Struthio camelus: one gene and its partner. The protein of the gene in region 1 interacts with the protein of each later gene in a pairwise test. Links are inferred from orthologs where the notes say so. Each region holds a gene or a part of one and is shown on either strand. Other genes may lie near its edges.

Region 1 (7,882 bases):
ACTTCCTATCAGTTTGTGGCCCAGACGTTCTGGCTGCTGTTACAACGCAAGCCTGGACTGAGAGGTAATGTCCTATCGTGTGTGCAGATGGTGCCTTCTCTTGCGCCCGTGGGCAGTGACTCACACTGTGCCCTGGTTAAGGGAAATCACTTTGGCCCATGTACTGCTGAACGAGGCAATGTCTTTGTTTTTCAAGACTAGAGCGGTTTCCATCCAGGAAAGCAGGTTCTTGGGTTTCTTTGGGAAGCAGAGAAGTGAGAAGCATTTGCAGTAGAGTTGATCATTGCTCCCATGAATTTCAAACCATTCAGTGCTGTTAATGAGCCACTGCCTGTCTGGTGCCACAAGCGCTGGCTCTTTCTTTTTACGGTCATAGTTGTTGCAAAAGAGAGATGCGTCTGTGTTCCTCTATCTAGGCAGGAAGACGGGGCACTTGTGATAGCAGATGGATCCTGTAACCCTAGAAGTCAGTTTGCAGGCTCCTTCATAATACTTGTGCTGGGTTAGCAAAGGCAGTGCCCTCTAAGCATCTTGCGCATACTGCAATTGGAGTCTCTGTGGCTTGGGGTCACAGGTCCTCGGCTCAGGTTCCCATACCTTAATGCCTCGAATGGTGCCTGTGCGTGTGCCTGCCCCGTCCTTGAGCCTGGGAAGCCGCGCACTGGTGGTGCTAATGCCCCAGATGCAAAGCGTGCTTCCGCTAGGCTCTTCCCCAGGCTGCTCACGTGCACCTTGGATAGGCTCAGTTCCTAGCGTGGCTGTTACTTGTCCCATAGCCAAGTTCTCCTTGTGGAGTTGCTGCTCCTATAAGGCAGCTCTCTGGCTCTGAGATTCCCCAAGAAGGTCACGCAGGGAGCAAGGGAGGGACTATGGAGAGGGGAGGAAATTCCTCCTTTGCTTGTGTTGGGGAGTTATATTTAGCTTTGCGGATATCAGCCTTGTTCAGTGCTACTTATGAGACATGTGCCGTGGAATGAGGACTGCCTTGGGCATGTGTGTGTGTCCAGCAATTGGCACTGCCTCTCTCAGTAATTCCAGGGTACGAGTGTGATTTGGTTTGTGACCAGTGGGGCCATGGCTGAGCACGGGAAGGGCTGGAAGCTGGAGGCAGAGCCCAGGCTGCGGGCAGGCAGTGCCTCACTGCCCTGCAGTAGTAGCCCTGACTTTTTTTTTTTTTTTTTTTAACCTTGTGTATGTGTGAGGATGAAAACCCGGAAACCTGCCTGTAGCTCATTTCCTGCCTGGCAGGCAGTGAGCAACGCATGTTTCCGAGCGGGAGGCGGTGTTTCCTGGTGCTCGCAGCCTGGCGGGTGGGATGGGATCGTTCTTGAGAAGCACCAGACCTGAACCTGCTACTGGGAACACTGCAGGCTCTGTGCGAATGACTCATGTTGGAGAACTGAGATGGGGAAGGAGTCCCGTGTCCATCTGCTGCCCTTTGTCCTACACTAGCTGGGGACTTTTCTTTGGGTCAGAATGGCAAGGAGGAATAATCCTGCCCTGTCTAAGAGCTGTTCCTCTCTGTGTGGAGAGGCCCCTGCCCTGGTCTCTGCAGCTCCTCCCCTGGTGATGTGCCCTGGGAGATGCTGGTGGGGTGGGGTTTCTCCCACTGGTCCAGCCCGTGCAGGTGTTTCCCCAGGAGGGAGCAATCTGCATCTGAGAAGTCTGACTCACAGCCGTGTGAGCTCTCCTGGAGGGTGACTGTCACGCGTTTAGATGGTTTCAGTTGCCAGGTCACAGCCTGTTTCCCGTGGGTGTTGGGCTTGGCCTGGGGCTGGCTGAGTGGCTCTGTGCGTGTGTGTTACGAATCGCATCCCTACCTCCCCTTTCTCTCCTCAGGTATGCTGGAGGATGGGAAGAAGTTTGATTCTTCTCGCGACAGGAACAAGCCGTTCAAGTTTGTGATGGGCAAGCAGGAGGTGATCCGCGGCTGGGAGGAAGGAGTTGCCCAGGTGCCTGGTGCTTCTGTGTGTCTCTGTCTCCCTTGCAGGGGCTGCTCAGAGCCGTGTGGCTCAGGATCTGCAGCGTGGGCAGAAATCACAATGTGCGCAGCTCTTTCTCTTTTTTACTGTGTATTTTCCACCCCTCCGCCCCCTCTGTGATTGGAGGTGTGGGTGAGAATATCACCTTCTGCATTGCCACCTGCCAGATGGCAGGAATGGAGCAGGTCCGGGCCCCAGGAACACCTACAGCCTGTCGGTGACTCAGCGATGACATTTCTATACTGAGTCAGCGCTGAATGAACGCCACGGGGAGTGCTCAGAGCCTCCCGCTCTGAGAAAAGATGGCTCCTGGGGCTGCAAGCCCACGCAGAGGAAGGGCTGGTTTGCATGGCGTGGGTTCAGTCCCAGCATGCGTGACTGCAGTCAACTGCATGCACTATCGGAAACGCGAGGCTTGTTCCGTGCAGTGCCCACATTGTAGCACAAGGAGGCCAGTGTCTTTAGGGAATGGCCTGGCTGTCCCTTCCTGTCCTACAAAAACACTTGTGTGAAGGACATCTGTAGCCCTGCTCCCTCTGCTGAAGGCCTGCTCCTTTTCCAGCCAGTGCTGCCTCCCTCTCCTGATGTTCTTCCCATTCTTCTTCTATCCCCTTGTCCCTTTGTGCAGCCCAGGTCCTTGCTCTTACCCAGTGTAGGGAACAGAGGGGGACGGATCTGTGTCCCTCCTGCTGTCTCTCACCTGGTGTCCAGGTGCATCTCCTGACATCCCTGTGTTTCTTTCCCTGCTCCCAGATGAGCGTTGGTCAGAGGGCGAAGATGACCATCTCCCCAGATTACGCCTATGGCTCTACTGGCCACCCAGGGATCATCCCACCAAATGCCACTCTAATTTTTGACGTGGAGCTCATGAAATTGGAATGACCTACCCCAACCCCCTGTCCTTGGGTAAGGAGGGAGAAGCAGCTGGTGGTGCTGGGGGAGGACTTTTTAAGGCCCTTCTCTTTGGCCTCAGGCCAGCGTGGGGAGGGGGGATGGAGCTGACAGTTGTTGGGGGGCAGGAGAGGGATGGGGCAGGTGTCTAGCCGCAGGTAGAAGGACTGTTGCTCTCAGGACGCTGATGATTTGGGGAACACTGTGGCGATAGAAGCAGAGTGCCCTGCCTGGCAGAGCATGCCAGGACATTCCTCAGGATCACAGAACAGTTGAGGTTGGCAGGGACCTCAGGTGTCCTGCACTGTGTCCTTCCACAGCAGGGCCTGGCTGCCCAATCCCTCTCATGATGGCCCTGGTGCCTCTCTTGCCTTGCTGAAGGCTCGTTCCCCCTCCATAATTGGGGCTTGAGTTCTGCTTTTGAGGGCACCATGCGGTTTCTAATGAAACTGTCTCATGAACACGCTTCCTCCTCGGCCGTGGCTTTCTCCTGAAAGCTGCTGGGTTCTCTGCCAGCGGCTTTGTTACGGTGCCTCTCTTCTCTCCCAAACAGGTTTGGCACATGGAGGAATCCAGAATCTCAGCTTCAAGAAGAATGCACATGACTTTGTACGGAGCTTTTCCTGATATTCCACTACACTCATTGTATAACCTTACACCTTGATTGAATGCCTTTGGTCACTAAGCTTTGCGTCTGACTCTTCCTCCTTGTATCGTGTTTTTATGTCTTTTTAAACTATACGCCGTAAACCTCAACTCTTTTTGGGTCAAGTTCTTAATCTTATTTTTGTTCCAGGTGTAGACTACGTTTTACCAGTAGTACGCAGATGGCCTGACCTTAGATAGGAGTCGTTTGAACAAAAGGAAACCTGTTAGTTAATTGTTTTGGTGCCGACCTCTATGGTGTACTAAAACCAGAAATTGCTGCTGCTGCAAAAGCCATAGCAGAGTGAGGCTGTCGAGGCTGAATGGATGCGGAGAGCAAAGTAGCACTAGGACTCTGTGTTAGTTACCTGCCTGGAACCGGGGCAATGAGGAAGCAGTTGGTCCTTTCCCTGCTTTCTGGGGAAAGGACAGCATCACTGCATGCAGTGTTTTTACTCCTGGGAAGCTGGGGCTGCTGTACCCCTCCTTCCTCTCCCAACTGTTGACTTTTTCCATCTCATGGTGGACCTTCTGCCCACCTGCTTTTGGATTTGTGGAGATCATTTTCTCTTTAGCCATCAGAGCTCCACAACTACTTAGAAATTCAGGAAATCGCATTGAGCTTTCTTTAAAAAAGAAAACAAAAGGCAAAAGGAAGGTGCTGTCTACAGGGGAGGTGGCAGGGCTGGTGGGGAGTCAGCTGAGAAGAAAACGCCCCCCTTCTACTCTCTCCCCCCTTGAAAGGAAACATCAGACCCCAGTTGTCCCTGGTCTGAACATACCTGACCATTCTCTCCTGACACCTGATGCTGGTCATCGCTGCTTGTCTGGTCTCATACGATGCATAGCTTCCCCCTGCTGCTGTCCTATCTGCCCCCCTCCCTCCCTCCGCCCTGCGTAGTGATTTGGTAAGAGAAATTGCCGCCGTTCACTTCCTTCTCCACTGCATAAAGGTATCAAGTTTTATTATTGCAATAAAAATGCTTTATGCTGGCTTTTCTCAATTCTGTGTGTTGGAGATTTTTCCCTCGCCTGTCTGCCACTTAGTGCTGCTGGCTAACGGCGCGCTGCGGGTGCCCTCCCGGGAGGCAGCCCTGGCCCGGGCTGCCGGCGCTGTTTCGTGGCCGGAGGACGCTGTGGAGGTGAGGAAGGGCTGGTGTTTCACTGTGCTGGCTCGCTTTGCGGTGAAGCTCTTGAGCTCGGCCCTTCAGGCACAGAGGGACGGCTCTGGCTCTGGCTCGCTAGGCGCTTTGGAAAGGCGGTGACGGTGGCCTGCCAGAGTTCGCGTAATTGTCTTACCATAAAACTCTTAAGTGCTGCCTTCCAGGCAGTCGGTCAGCGTTACGGGTGCGCGTTCCTCCTGGCCTGGGCACGGCAGCGAGAGGCTGGCTGCGCGCGGAGGGCAGGTACCTGCTCTCGCAGGGACGGCGCCTGCGCTCGCAAACAGCCCAAGGCCTGGCTGAGCCTCTCCTTCCCGCGGACCGTGGCGGGCAGGGTGGGAAACGCTCGGCGCAGCAGGCACGGGCCCAACTAGTTCTCTGCTCCTTGGCATGATTTTGACTTCTGTTATTGTTGCATGTAGTAGCTGGCTGGGATTTTTTTTATGTATATGTTTGTCCAGTGGTTAGAGGAGAACTTTAGAGGCTGGCCGTTGCTACTGTGCAGCATTGCTCTTCCAGCAGCTGCTATTCACAGGTCAGATCAGCCTGGACCTTAAAAGGCTCTCTGGGGTGTTTTGGTACCTGTCTGGGTGCAGGTGCTTCCTTAGATTTGCAGGGCCTTTTCTCTTTTGCAATGCTTGCTAGAGGGCGGTTGCTGAGTCTGTGGCTTTGGGCTTTTGTGCTGTTGCATGTTCGCTGGTGGCGGCTGGGGAATGTTTTGTGGCTCGTGGTGCAGCTGCTTCACGGTCATCGCCGCTCTAAGCGTCTGTGTCAGGGTTAGGGGAGTGCAGTTTGGTGCTCGGGACGGTTAGCGCTGTGGCAGCCTTCCCGCACGCAGGGAATGGGTTGCATGCTTTGTGTTAAAGGTTCCAGTTCCTGAACGCAGATACTTGGATGCTTTAGTGTAATTCTGCTGCGGCCCCAAGGAAGTGGGGTCGGCAGCCCCAGCAGCAACAGCTCTATGCCCGGTGTCCGGCTCCGCTAATGGCCCTCTGGAAATAGCCTGTGCTTTAGTTTCCCTAATCGATAACGTCCTGGACCCTAAGGGAGGCCGTGGTGAGTCCAAGCGCTTGAGCCTCAGCGGGTTTGTTGGGAGCAAAGTTTGCACTTAAAGGAGGCTGAAAAATGAGCTGTTTGGACTAGCCCTCTGGTGGGTTTGGGAACTTGGGTTTTTAGAAGTGATATGAGAAGACTTAAAGGCTTCTGCAGCTTGGACTGCCACCGTCTGGGCTCCCGGGGCTGGGCCCTCCTTTAGCGCTCACATGGGGTGGTAGATGCATGCAGCTTTCGGTGCTCCCGGCTCGCTGCGCTGGAGTTACGCGGATGTTCCCGGGTGTCCCGGCCCCGTGGCGCGGGCGCTACCCGCCGCTCTGCCCAGGAGCGGGGCTGCCCTCTGAGCCCGCTAAAATGTGCAAGTATTAGCCCTCCCCTTAGCTGCTGCACGTTCGGTTTGAGGTCTGCCTCCCGCCGGGTGCTGCCGCTGCTGGGGCTCGGCAGGCTCCACCGTGGACGTGGACGGCGTCAGCCGGAGCGCGCGGCGCCCGCCGGGCCTTTGTGCCGGGCTATCGTTGCTGCGGCTGGGACAGGAGGGCGGCGCGGGGCCGATGGCGCGTCCCCGCTGCTCTCTGCCGCGGTCCCCCCGGGGTGCCCACCCCTGCTCGCTGGCGCGGGGAGAAGGAGCTGGGGCCGGCCGGCCGCGGGTGCTCTGGCTCCCGCCGTTCGCCGCAGCCACCCGCGACGCGCCGAAACTTGAGGCCAGCATGGGTTTTTCTTCCTTCTTCCCTAAAGCCTTTCGCTTTAATTATTAACCGGTGCCAGGCCGAGCGGTGCGGTGGCTTTCTGTGCTGGCCGTAAGCCAGGGCCCGGCCGGAGGCAGGTGGGTCGGCAGGAGCGGGCAGCCCTGCTCCGCAGCTCCCGTCCCCTCCTCGCTGAGCTTCGTTCCGGTGCCGTTTGCCGGCAGGGCTCCGCGGCCCTGATCTCGGAGGGGCGGCAGCGCCCTGGGCCTCCGGCGTCGGGGACGTGGACCCCGGGCCCGGCGGGGAAAGGGCTTCCCAGTGCCCAGCTTCGCTGCGGGACCCATGGCTCCAGGCTGGTGGAGCAGGGCTGGTACCGGGCCAGCGTAGGGGGGCTGAGCTCCCCCGGCCGGGCTGAGCCCTCGCTCCCGTGCGCTGGGCAGCACGACCGGATCTAAACGTGTCCAGGGCAGCAGGAAGAGCCCACGCTCCCTCCTGGCTTACCTGGAGGCAGGATGAGCTCCTGTCCTGCAGGGAGCTGAGGACGTGCTCAGCACCGGGGCCGAGCACCCTCCTGCGGGCCCTCTGCATCCCGTCCTGGGGCTGCGGCGACGGGATGCAGCTGGCAGGCGAGCACGTGCACGTGTGCATGCAGCGAGTGCAACGTGCGTGTGCATGCGTGTGCCCGCCTGTGCAGCAGTGTGTTTTGTGCGGGACGGCTGTGGGTGCAGGCGAAGGCCTCCTGGCCCGGGAACCCTCCTTCGGGGTGAGGCCGATGGAGGATGTTTTCCCACGGCCGCCGCCGCCGCAGCCCCTCTCCTCCCCAGCGCTTGCTCTGTGCCCTGTTTATCAGCTGCCGGGCTGGTCTGGCCTCGGGTCGGCCGGGCAGCAGGGCACCGGCGGGCTAAAAATAACATGAGTAAATAAACTGCTTCCTCCTGGCCTGGCACGCTGAGCAGCGGCGCTGGCGCTGGGCGGGTGCCGGTGAGCCCGAGGGCCGGGACGTGCCCGGCCCCGTGCCAGCGGCTCATGCAAACCCTGCACTGGCGCCGCAGGCTCGGGACCCGGCTCGGTGCCCACGGGGCCTGGCGGGCAGCGGGACCGGGCTCGCGCCAGCGCCGGCGTTGCTCAGTTTTTCCACTGCGGCGTGGGACCGGCCTCACCGGCCCTCGCAGGGACACGGTGTCCCGGCCGCGTCAGCCCCACGCGCCCGGGCAGTGGGTGCTGGAAACGAGGCGTCAGCCAGCACCCGCCGCCCACGCGGGGCTGCCGGCACCCGGGCATCGCCCTGCCGTGGTGGAGGAGCTGGGTCACGGAGCCGCGGCGGCCCCCAGCTGGCCCGGGGCGCTGGGCAGGGGGACGCCTTGGGGCTGGGGTGGGCCTCCGGCCGGGGACATCGCAGTGGGACGGGGGCTGCGGCGGGTGCTGGGGACCTTCATGGAGCAGTGGGGCCCCCGGGGTGCCTGGTCCA
Region 2 (7,356 bases), on another chromosome or scaffold:
GTGACACGGCGGGGACGCAGCGGCGGAGGCGCGCGGGCGCGAAGGGCCGCGTTGAGCTGCGCGGGCGCGAAGGGACCGGGCCGGGGAGCGCGTAGGGGGCCGGGTGGCTGCGAGGGGACGCGTTGGGGACGCGTCGGGGACGCGTTGGGGACCTCTCTTGATCCAGATGTGGCGGCGGAACTTGGGCGGCATGCTGACGAGGAAGCGGGCGCCCTCGGCCGTCTCCACCTCGTGCAGGTTGTTCCCCGGCGTCCCCAGCACCTGGGGAGGGGGGGGGGGACACGTCGGGGACCGCAGCGTCCCCCAGACCCCCTCCGTGTCCCCTGGGTGGCCCCTTGTCCCTCCTGTGCCCCCTCCTCCATGTCCCTGGGTGTCCCCAGGTGGTCTTTCCCCACCACCACCAAATGTCCCTGTGTCCCCATGTCCCCCCTGGGTGTCCCCGTCCCTCCTGGGTCCCTGGGTTCCCCCCCCCAGGTGTCCCTGTCCCCATGTCTCTCCGTGCCCCCCATGTCCCCCCCGGGTCCCCCCTGACTCTCCTGGGTCCCTGTGTCCCCCCCCCAGGTGTCCCTGGGGTGCCCCCCCCATGTTCCCTCTGGGTCCCCCTGACTCTCCTGGGTCCCTGTGTCCCCCCCCAAGGTGTCCTTGTCCCCATGTCTCTCTGTGCCCCCCCCGGGTCCCCCTGACTCTCCTGGGTCCCTGTGTCCCCCCCCCCAGGTGTCCCTGTCCCCATGTCTCTCCGTGCCCCCCATGTCCCCCCCGGGTCCCCCCTGACTCTCCTGGGTCCCTGTGTCCCCCCCCCCCAGGTGTCCCTGGGGTGCCCCCCCCATGTTCCCTCTGGGTCCCCCTGACTCTCCTGGGTCCCTGTGTCCCCCCCCCAAGGTGTCCTTGTCCCCATGTCTCTCCGTGCCCCCCATGCCCCCCCCGGGTCCCCCTGACTCTCCTGGGTCCCTGTGTCCCCCCCCCCCCCAAGGTGTCCCTGTCCCCATGTCTCTCTGTGCCCCCCCATGTCCCCCCTGGGTCCCCCCTGACTCTCCTGGGTCCCTGTGTCCCCCCCCCCAAGGTGTCCCTGTCCCCATGTCTCTCCGTGCCCCCCATGTCCCCCCTGGGTCCCCCCTGACTCTCCTGGGTCCCTGTGTCCCCCCCCCCAGGTGTCCCTGGGGTGCCCCCCCACGTCCCCCCTGGGTCCCCCTGACTCTCCTGGGTCCCTGTGTCCCCCCGCCCAAGGTGTCCCTGTCCCCATGTCTCTCTGTGCCCCCCCATGTCCCCCCTGGGTCCCCCTGACTCTCCTGGGTCCCTGTGTCCCCCCCCCAGGTGTCCCTGGGGTGCCCCCCCACGTCCCCCCTGGGTCCCCCTGACTCTCCTGGGTCCCTGTGTCCCCCCGCCCAAGGTGTCCCTGTCCCCATGTCTCTCTGTGCCCCCCCATGTCCCCCCTGGGTCCCCCTGACTCTCCTGGGTCCCTGTGTCCCCCCCCCAACCCCCACCCACGGTGTCCCTGCCCCCAGGTGCCCCCCCCCAAGTGTCCCCATGTCCTTTTTGTTGCTCTACCACATCCCTGGGTCCTCTTGTGTCCCCAAGTCCCCTAATATCCCCGGGTCCCCTCGTGTCCCCCCCCCCAGGTGCCCCCATTCCCCCCCCCAGGTCCCCTCATGTCCCCTCTCAAGACCCCCCCCCGTCTCCCCATCTCCCGTGTGTCCCCGCTGCGTGTCCCCACCCCCCCGTGTCCCTGTGTCCCCTTGTGTTCTCCTGCGTGTCCCCCATGCCGTGTCCCCCCATGTCCCCCCGGGTCCCCCCACCGTGTCCCTGTGTCCTGCCATGTCCCCTTGTGTGCTCCTCTGTGTCCCCAACACCCCCAGGTCCCCCTGGCCCCCCCCGGGTGTCCCCACCCCAGGTCCCCCCAGGTGTCCCCATCCTCCCCGTGTCCCCATGTCCCTGGGTCCCCTCGTGTCCCCCCCCCCCGGGTCCCCCCATGTCCTCACCCCGTGTCCTGCCGTGGCCCCAGGTCCCCCCGTGTCCCCTCCCGTGTCCCTTCGTGTCCTCATCCTCCCATATCCTGCCGTGTCCCCCCCCGTCCCGCCTTGTCCGTCCCCATGTCCTCACCCCCCCCCATGTCCCGCCCTGTCCCCCCAGGTCCCCTGGTGTCCTCACCCCCCGGGTCCCCCCGTCCCCCCCCGTGTCCCCCTATGTCCCACCGTGTCCCCCCCAGGTCCCCTCGTGTCCCTCCGGTGTCCCCACCCCCCCGGGTCCCCTGGTGTCCCCCCATGTCCTCACCCCCCCCCCGTGTCCCCCCATGTCCTCACCCCCCCCGTGTCCCCCCGGGTCCCCCCGGGTCCCCCTATGTCCCACCGTGTCCCCCCCCGTGTCCTCATCCCCCTGTGTCCCCCCAGGTCCCCCTATGTCGCCCTGGGTCCCCCCGTGTCCTCACCCCCCGGGTCCCCCTATGTCCCCCCGGGTCCCCGTGTCCCCCCCCGTGTCCTCACCCCCCCGGGTCTCCCTATGTCCCCCCGGGTCCCCCCGGGTCCCCGTGTCCCCCCCCGTGTCCTCACCCCCCGGGTCCCCCTATGTCCCCCCGGGTCCCCCCGGATCCCCGTGTCCCTCCCCGTGTCCCCACCCCCCCGGGTCCCCCCGGGTCCCCCCCCCCCCCGCTCACCCGCACGATGCGCTGTCGCGGCGACGGCACCACCCGCTCGTCCAGCACCTCCCGCGCCACGTGCTTCCGCTTGGTGGCCTGCGACATGCCGGACGCCTGGGCCCGCCGGGACGCCTGGGTCCCTCCTCTGTCCCCCTCCCCCGCCCCAGTAGCGGCGGGGGGGCCCAGGCGTCCGGGCTGCCCCCCTCCCGCCGCGCCCCGCCGCTTCCCACCTCTCACCGCATGGGAGTCCGCCACTTCCGGGTGCACCGCCCTCTGGCGTCACTTCCGGAGACACCGGCTCCTCCCCCCCGGTCCTCCTCTCTATGGTGGTTTCTGACAGGCCGCTGCGTCTCGCCGCGGGAACCTCCCGCGGGCTAGAGCGGCGCCGCGCACCACAGAGTCGCGGCGCCGTCGCCCTAGAGCGCCCGCGGCGACCGCGTTGCTAGGCAGCCGCCGCCTCTCTATGGTCGCTTCCGGGCGCGCCTAGAGCGGTCGCCGGCGGCGGGTGCACTTCCGGCGTGGCCGGAAGTGACGGCAGCGCGCAGGCGCGCGCAGCGGCCAGTTGGGCGGGAGCGGCGGTTGACAGCGGCGGGCGGCGCCGGTGAGGGCGGGGGGGGGTCCGGAGGCTCCCTGGGGGGGGTCTTTAGGGCTTGGGAGGTGCGTGTGGGGAGCTGGGGAGGGCTCTGGGGCTGTAGGGGGCTCTGGAGGGTCCTTGGAGGGGTCTATGGGGCTGAGGGAGCTTAGGGGGTCTTTGGGGGGGGTCTATGGGGTTGAGGGGGCTCTGGGGGTCCTTAGGGGGGGTCTATGGGGCTGTAGGGGGCTCTGGGGGGTCCTTAGGGGGGTCTAATGGGGCTGAGGGAGCTCTGAGGGGTCCTTGGGGGGATCTATGGGGCTGAGAGAGCTCTGGGAGGTCCTTGGGGTGGTCTATGGGGGTTGAGGGGGCTCTGGGGTGTTCTTAGGGGGTCTATGGGGCTTTGGGGGGTTCTGGGGGGTGCTTAGGGAGGGTCTATGGGGCTGGAGGAGGCTCTGGAGGGTCCTTAGGGGGATCTATGGGGCTGGAGGGGGACCTGGGGGGTGCTTAGGGGGTTCTATGGGGTTGAGGGGGCTCTGGGGGTGCTTAGGGGGGTCTATGGGGCTGGAGGGGGCTCTGGAGGGTCCTTAGGGGGATCTATGGGGCTGGAGGGGGACCTGGGGGGTGCTTAGGGGGTTCTATGGGGCTGAGGGGGCTCTGGGGGTGCTTAGGGGGGTCTATGGGGCTGGAGGGGGCTCTGGAGGGTCCTTAGGGGGATCTATGGGGCTGGAGGGGGACCTGGGGGGTGCTTAGGGGGGTTCTATGGGGTTGAGGGGGCTCTGGGGGATTCTTGGGGGGGTCTATGGGGTTGAGGGGGCTCTGGGGGTGCTTAGGGGGGTTCTATGGGGTTGAGGGGGCTCTGGGGGTGCTTAGGGGGGTCTATGGGGCTGGAGGGGGCTCTGGAGGGTCCTTAGGGGGGTCTATGGGGCTTTGGGGGGCTCTGGGGGGTGCCTAGGGAGGTCTGGGGGGCTGTAGGGGGCTCTGGAGGGTCCTTGGGGGGGTGTGGGGCTATAGGGGGCTCTGGAGGGTCCTTGAGGGGGTCTATGGGGCTGAGGAATCTCTGAGTGGTCTTTTGGGGGGGGTCAATGGGGCTAGAGGAGGCTCTGGGCGGTGCTTAGGGGGGTCTGTGGGGCTGAGGGGGCTCTGGGGTGTCTTTAGGGGGTCAATGGGGCTGGAAGGGGCTCTGGGGGGTCCTTAGGGGGATCTATGGGGTTGAGGGGGCTCTGGGGGGTTCTTGGGGGGGTCTATGAGGCTGGAGGGGGTTCTCGGGGGTCTTTGGGGGGGTCTGTGGGGGTCTATGGTGATTGCGGAAGCCTATGGGGCTGTGGGGGACTTCTTGGGGGCGGTCTGTGGGGCTGGAGGGGTTGTAGGGCAGTTTTTGGGGTGTCTATGGGTCCGGGGGGGCTCTGGGGGTCTTTGGGGGGTCTCTGGGGCTTGAGGGGGCTCTTGGGGGGGTCCCATGGGTTTCGGGGGGCTCCCAGGGAGTCTCGGGGGGGGCTGTTTGTGCCCCCCCCCCGGGGCCCCTGCTGCAGCTGCGCTGGGGTATTTATAGCCGGGGGAGGGGCGGGATCGCCTGGGCCCCTGCTGGGGGGGGGGAGGGTCAGGATCGCCTGGGCCCCTGCACGGGGTGGGGGGGGGGGAGAGGGGACAACGCTGCCTCCTCCAGCCCCGGGGGCACCTTTGTCCCCCCCCCCGGGGCTGCCGCTGTCCCCACATTGTCCCCCCCCCCCCCCCCGAGCTGCCCGGTCCCTGTCACCATCCGCGTCCCCGCGTCACCCCCCCCCCCCCGCGGTCTGTCCCCGTCGCTCCTGGGGGCCGTCCCATCCCCCCCCCCCCGTCCCCAACGCGGTGGCACCGTCTGTGTCCCCCCCCCCGCCGGCAGGGCGAGCCGAGATGTCCTCGACGTCGCAGAAGCACCGGGACTTCGTGGCGGAGCCCATGGGCGAGAAGCCGGTGGGGACGCTGGCCGGCATCGGGGACGTGCTGGGCAAGAAGCTGGAGGAGAAGGGCTTCGACAAGGTGGGGACACCCTGGGGACACCGCGGGGACACCCTGGGGACACCACGGGGACCGTGGGGGGTGGCTGTGGGGTTGGGGACACCGCTGGGGACGCTGGCCGGCATCGGGGACGTGCTGGGCAAGAAGCTGGAGGAGAAGGGCTTCGACAAGGTGGGGACACCGCGGGGACACCCTGGGGACACCACGGGGACCGTGGGGGGCGGCTGTGGGGTTGGGGACACCGCTGGGGACGCTGGCCGGCATCGGGGACGTGCTGGGCAAGAAGCTGGAGGAGAAGGGCTTCGACAAGGTGGGGACACCGCGGGGACACCCTGGGGACACCACGGGGACCGTGGGGGGTGGCTGTGGGGTTGGGGACACCGCTGGGGACGCTGGCCGGCATCGGGGACGTGCTGGGCAAGAAGCTGGAGGAGAAGGGCTTCGACAAGGTGGGGACACCGCGGGGACGCCCTGGGGACACCGCGGGGACACCCTGGGGACACCACGGGGACCGTGGGGGGCGGCTGTGGGGTTGGGGACACCGCTGGGGACGCTGGCCGGCATCGGGGACGTGCTGGGCAAGAAGCTGGAGGAGAAGGGCTTCGACAAGGTGGGGACACCGCGGGGACACCCTGGGGACACCACGGGGACCGTGGGGGGTGGCTGTGGGGTTGGGGACACCGCTGGGGACGCTGGCCGGCATCGGGGACGTGCTGGGCAAGAAGCTGGAGGAGAAGGGCTTCGACAAGGTGGGGACACCCTGGGGACACCGCGGGGACACCCTGGGGACACCACGGGGACCGTGGGGGGCGGCTGTGGGGTTGGGGACACCGCTGGGGACGCTGGCCGGCATCGGGGACGTGCTGGGCAAGAAGTTGGAGGAGAAGGACTTCAACAAGGTGGGGACACCGCGGGGCCACCCTGGGGACACCACGGGGACGCCCTTGGGGCCACTGTGGGGACGCAGAGGTGGGGACACCGCAGGGCCACCCTGGGGTCACCCTCGGGGCCACTGCGAGGACATCGGGGACATTGCAGAGACGTGGGGGGGGGTGAGGTTGGGGACACCAGTGGGGGACGTTGGCTGCTATTGGGGACGCGCGAGGCGCGGAGGGGTGTCCTGAGCGTCAGAGGGTCCCCAGGGTGTCCCTGGGGGCTGTCAGGGTGTCCCCAAGATGTCTTTGGGGTGTCAGGGTGTCCCTGGGGGGGGCGTCGGGGTGTTCCCAGGGGGTGTCGGGGTGTCCCTAGCGTGTCAGGGTGTCCCCAGGGGGTGTTGAGGTGTCCCTAGCATGTCAGGGTGTCCCCAGGCGGTGTCCCCAGGGGGTGTCGGGGTGTCCCTAGCGTGTTGGGGTGTCCCCAGGGGGTGTCAAAGTGTTCCTAGCGTGCCGGGGTGTCCCCAGGGTGTCCCCAGGGGGTGTCGAAGTGTCCCTAGCATGCCGGGGTGTCCCCAGGGGGTGTCGGGGTGTCCCCAGGGGGTGTTTAAGTGTCCCTAGCATGCCGGGGTGTCCCCAGGGGGTGTCGGGGTGTCCCCAGGGGTGTCAGGGTGTCCCCAGGGTGTCCCCAGGGGGTGTCAGGGTGTCCCCAGGGGGTGTCAAGGTGTCCCTAGCATGCCGGGGTGTCCCCAGGGGGTGTCGGGGTGTCCCCAGGGGGTGTCAAAGTGTCCCTAGCATGTCGGGGTGTCCCCAGGAGGTGTCGGGGTGTCCCCAGGGGGTGTCGGGGTGTCCCCAAGGGGTGTCAAGGTGTCCCTAGCACGCCGGGGTGTCCCCAGGGGGTGTCCCCAGGGTGTCCCCAAGAGGCAGGGTGCCCCCCGCCCGTGACGCCTGTCCCCCCCCCGCCAGGCCTACGTGGTGCTGGGCCAGTTCCTGGTGCTCAAGAAGGACGAGGAGCTTTTCCGCGAGTGGCTCAAGGACACGTGCGGCGCCAACGCCAAGCAGTCGCGCGACTGCTCGGGCTGCCTGCGCGAGTGGTGCGACGCCTTCCTCTGAGCCCCCCCAAGCCCCCCGAAACCTCCCCCCTGCTGCCCCCCCCACCCCGGGGCTCCCCCCCAAACCTCCCCCCCGGGGCCCCCGAACCTCCTCCCAGGTGCCCGCAGATCTCCCCGAAAGCCACTCTGGGAGTCTCGCTGTCCCTCTCCGGAGCAGACGGGATGCCCCAAAAC

Evidence for each region.
Region 2: the proteins of SDCBP2 (region 1) and EIF1AD interact in a two-hybrid assay, tested with the Homo sapiens proteins (3 studies listed by BioGRID and IntAct). The two-hybrid records come from large-scale screens. The link is inferred for Struthio camelus from reciprocal best matches to the Homo sapiens genes SDCBP2 and EIF1AD.

What each region holds. Positions count from the first base shown.
Region 1 is NC_090959.1:18,227,138-18,235,019, forward strand, and holds the start of SDCBP2 (syntenin-2), read left to right. Parts: upstream 1-4,879; 5' UTR 4,880-4,924; intron 4,925-5,391; exon of another isoform or gene 5,392-5,734; intron 5,735-7,882. Other genes in the region: peptidyl-prolyl cis-trans isomerase FKBP1A, read left to right, coding at 1,840-1,952, 2,736-2,864.
Region 2 is NC_090976.1:755,794-763,149, forward strand, and holds the start of EIF1AD (probable RNA-binding protein EIF1AD), read right to left. Parts: upstream 3,007-7,356; 5' UTR 2,867-3,006; exon of another isoform or gene 2,860-2,866; intron 2,854-2,859; exon of another isoform or gene 2,744-2,853; 5' UTR 2,735-2,743; coding exon 2,648-2,734; intron 262-2,647; coding exon 153-261; intron 1-152. Other genes in the region: BANF1 (barrier-to-autointegration factor), read left to right, coding at 5,094-5,219, 7,037-7,183.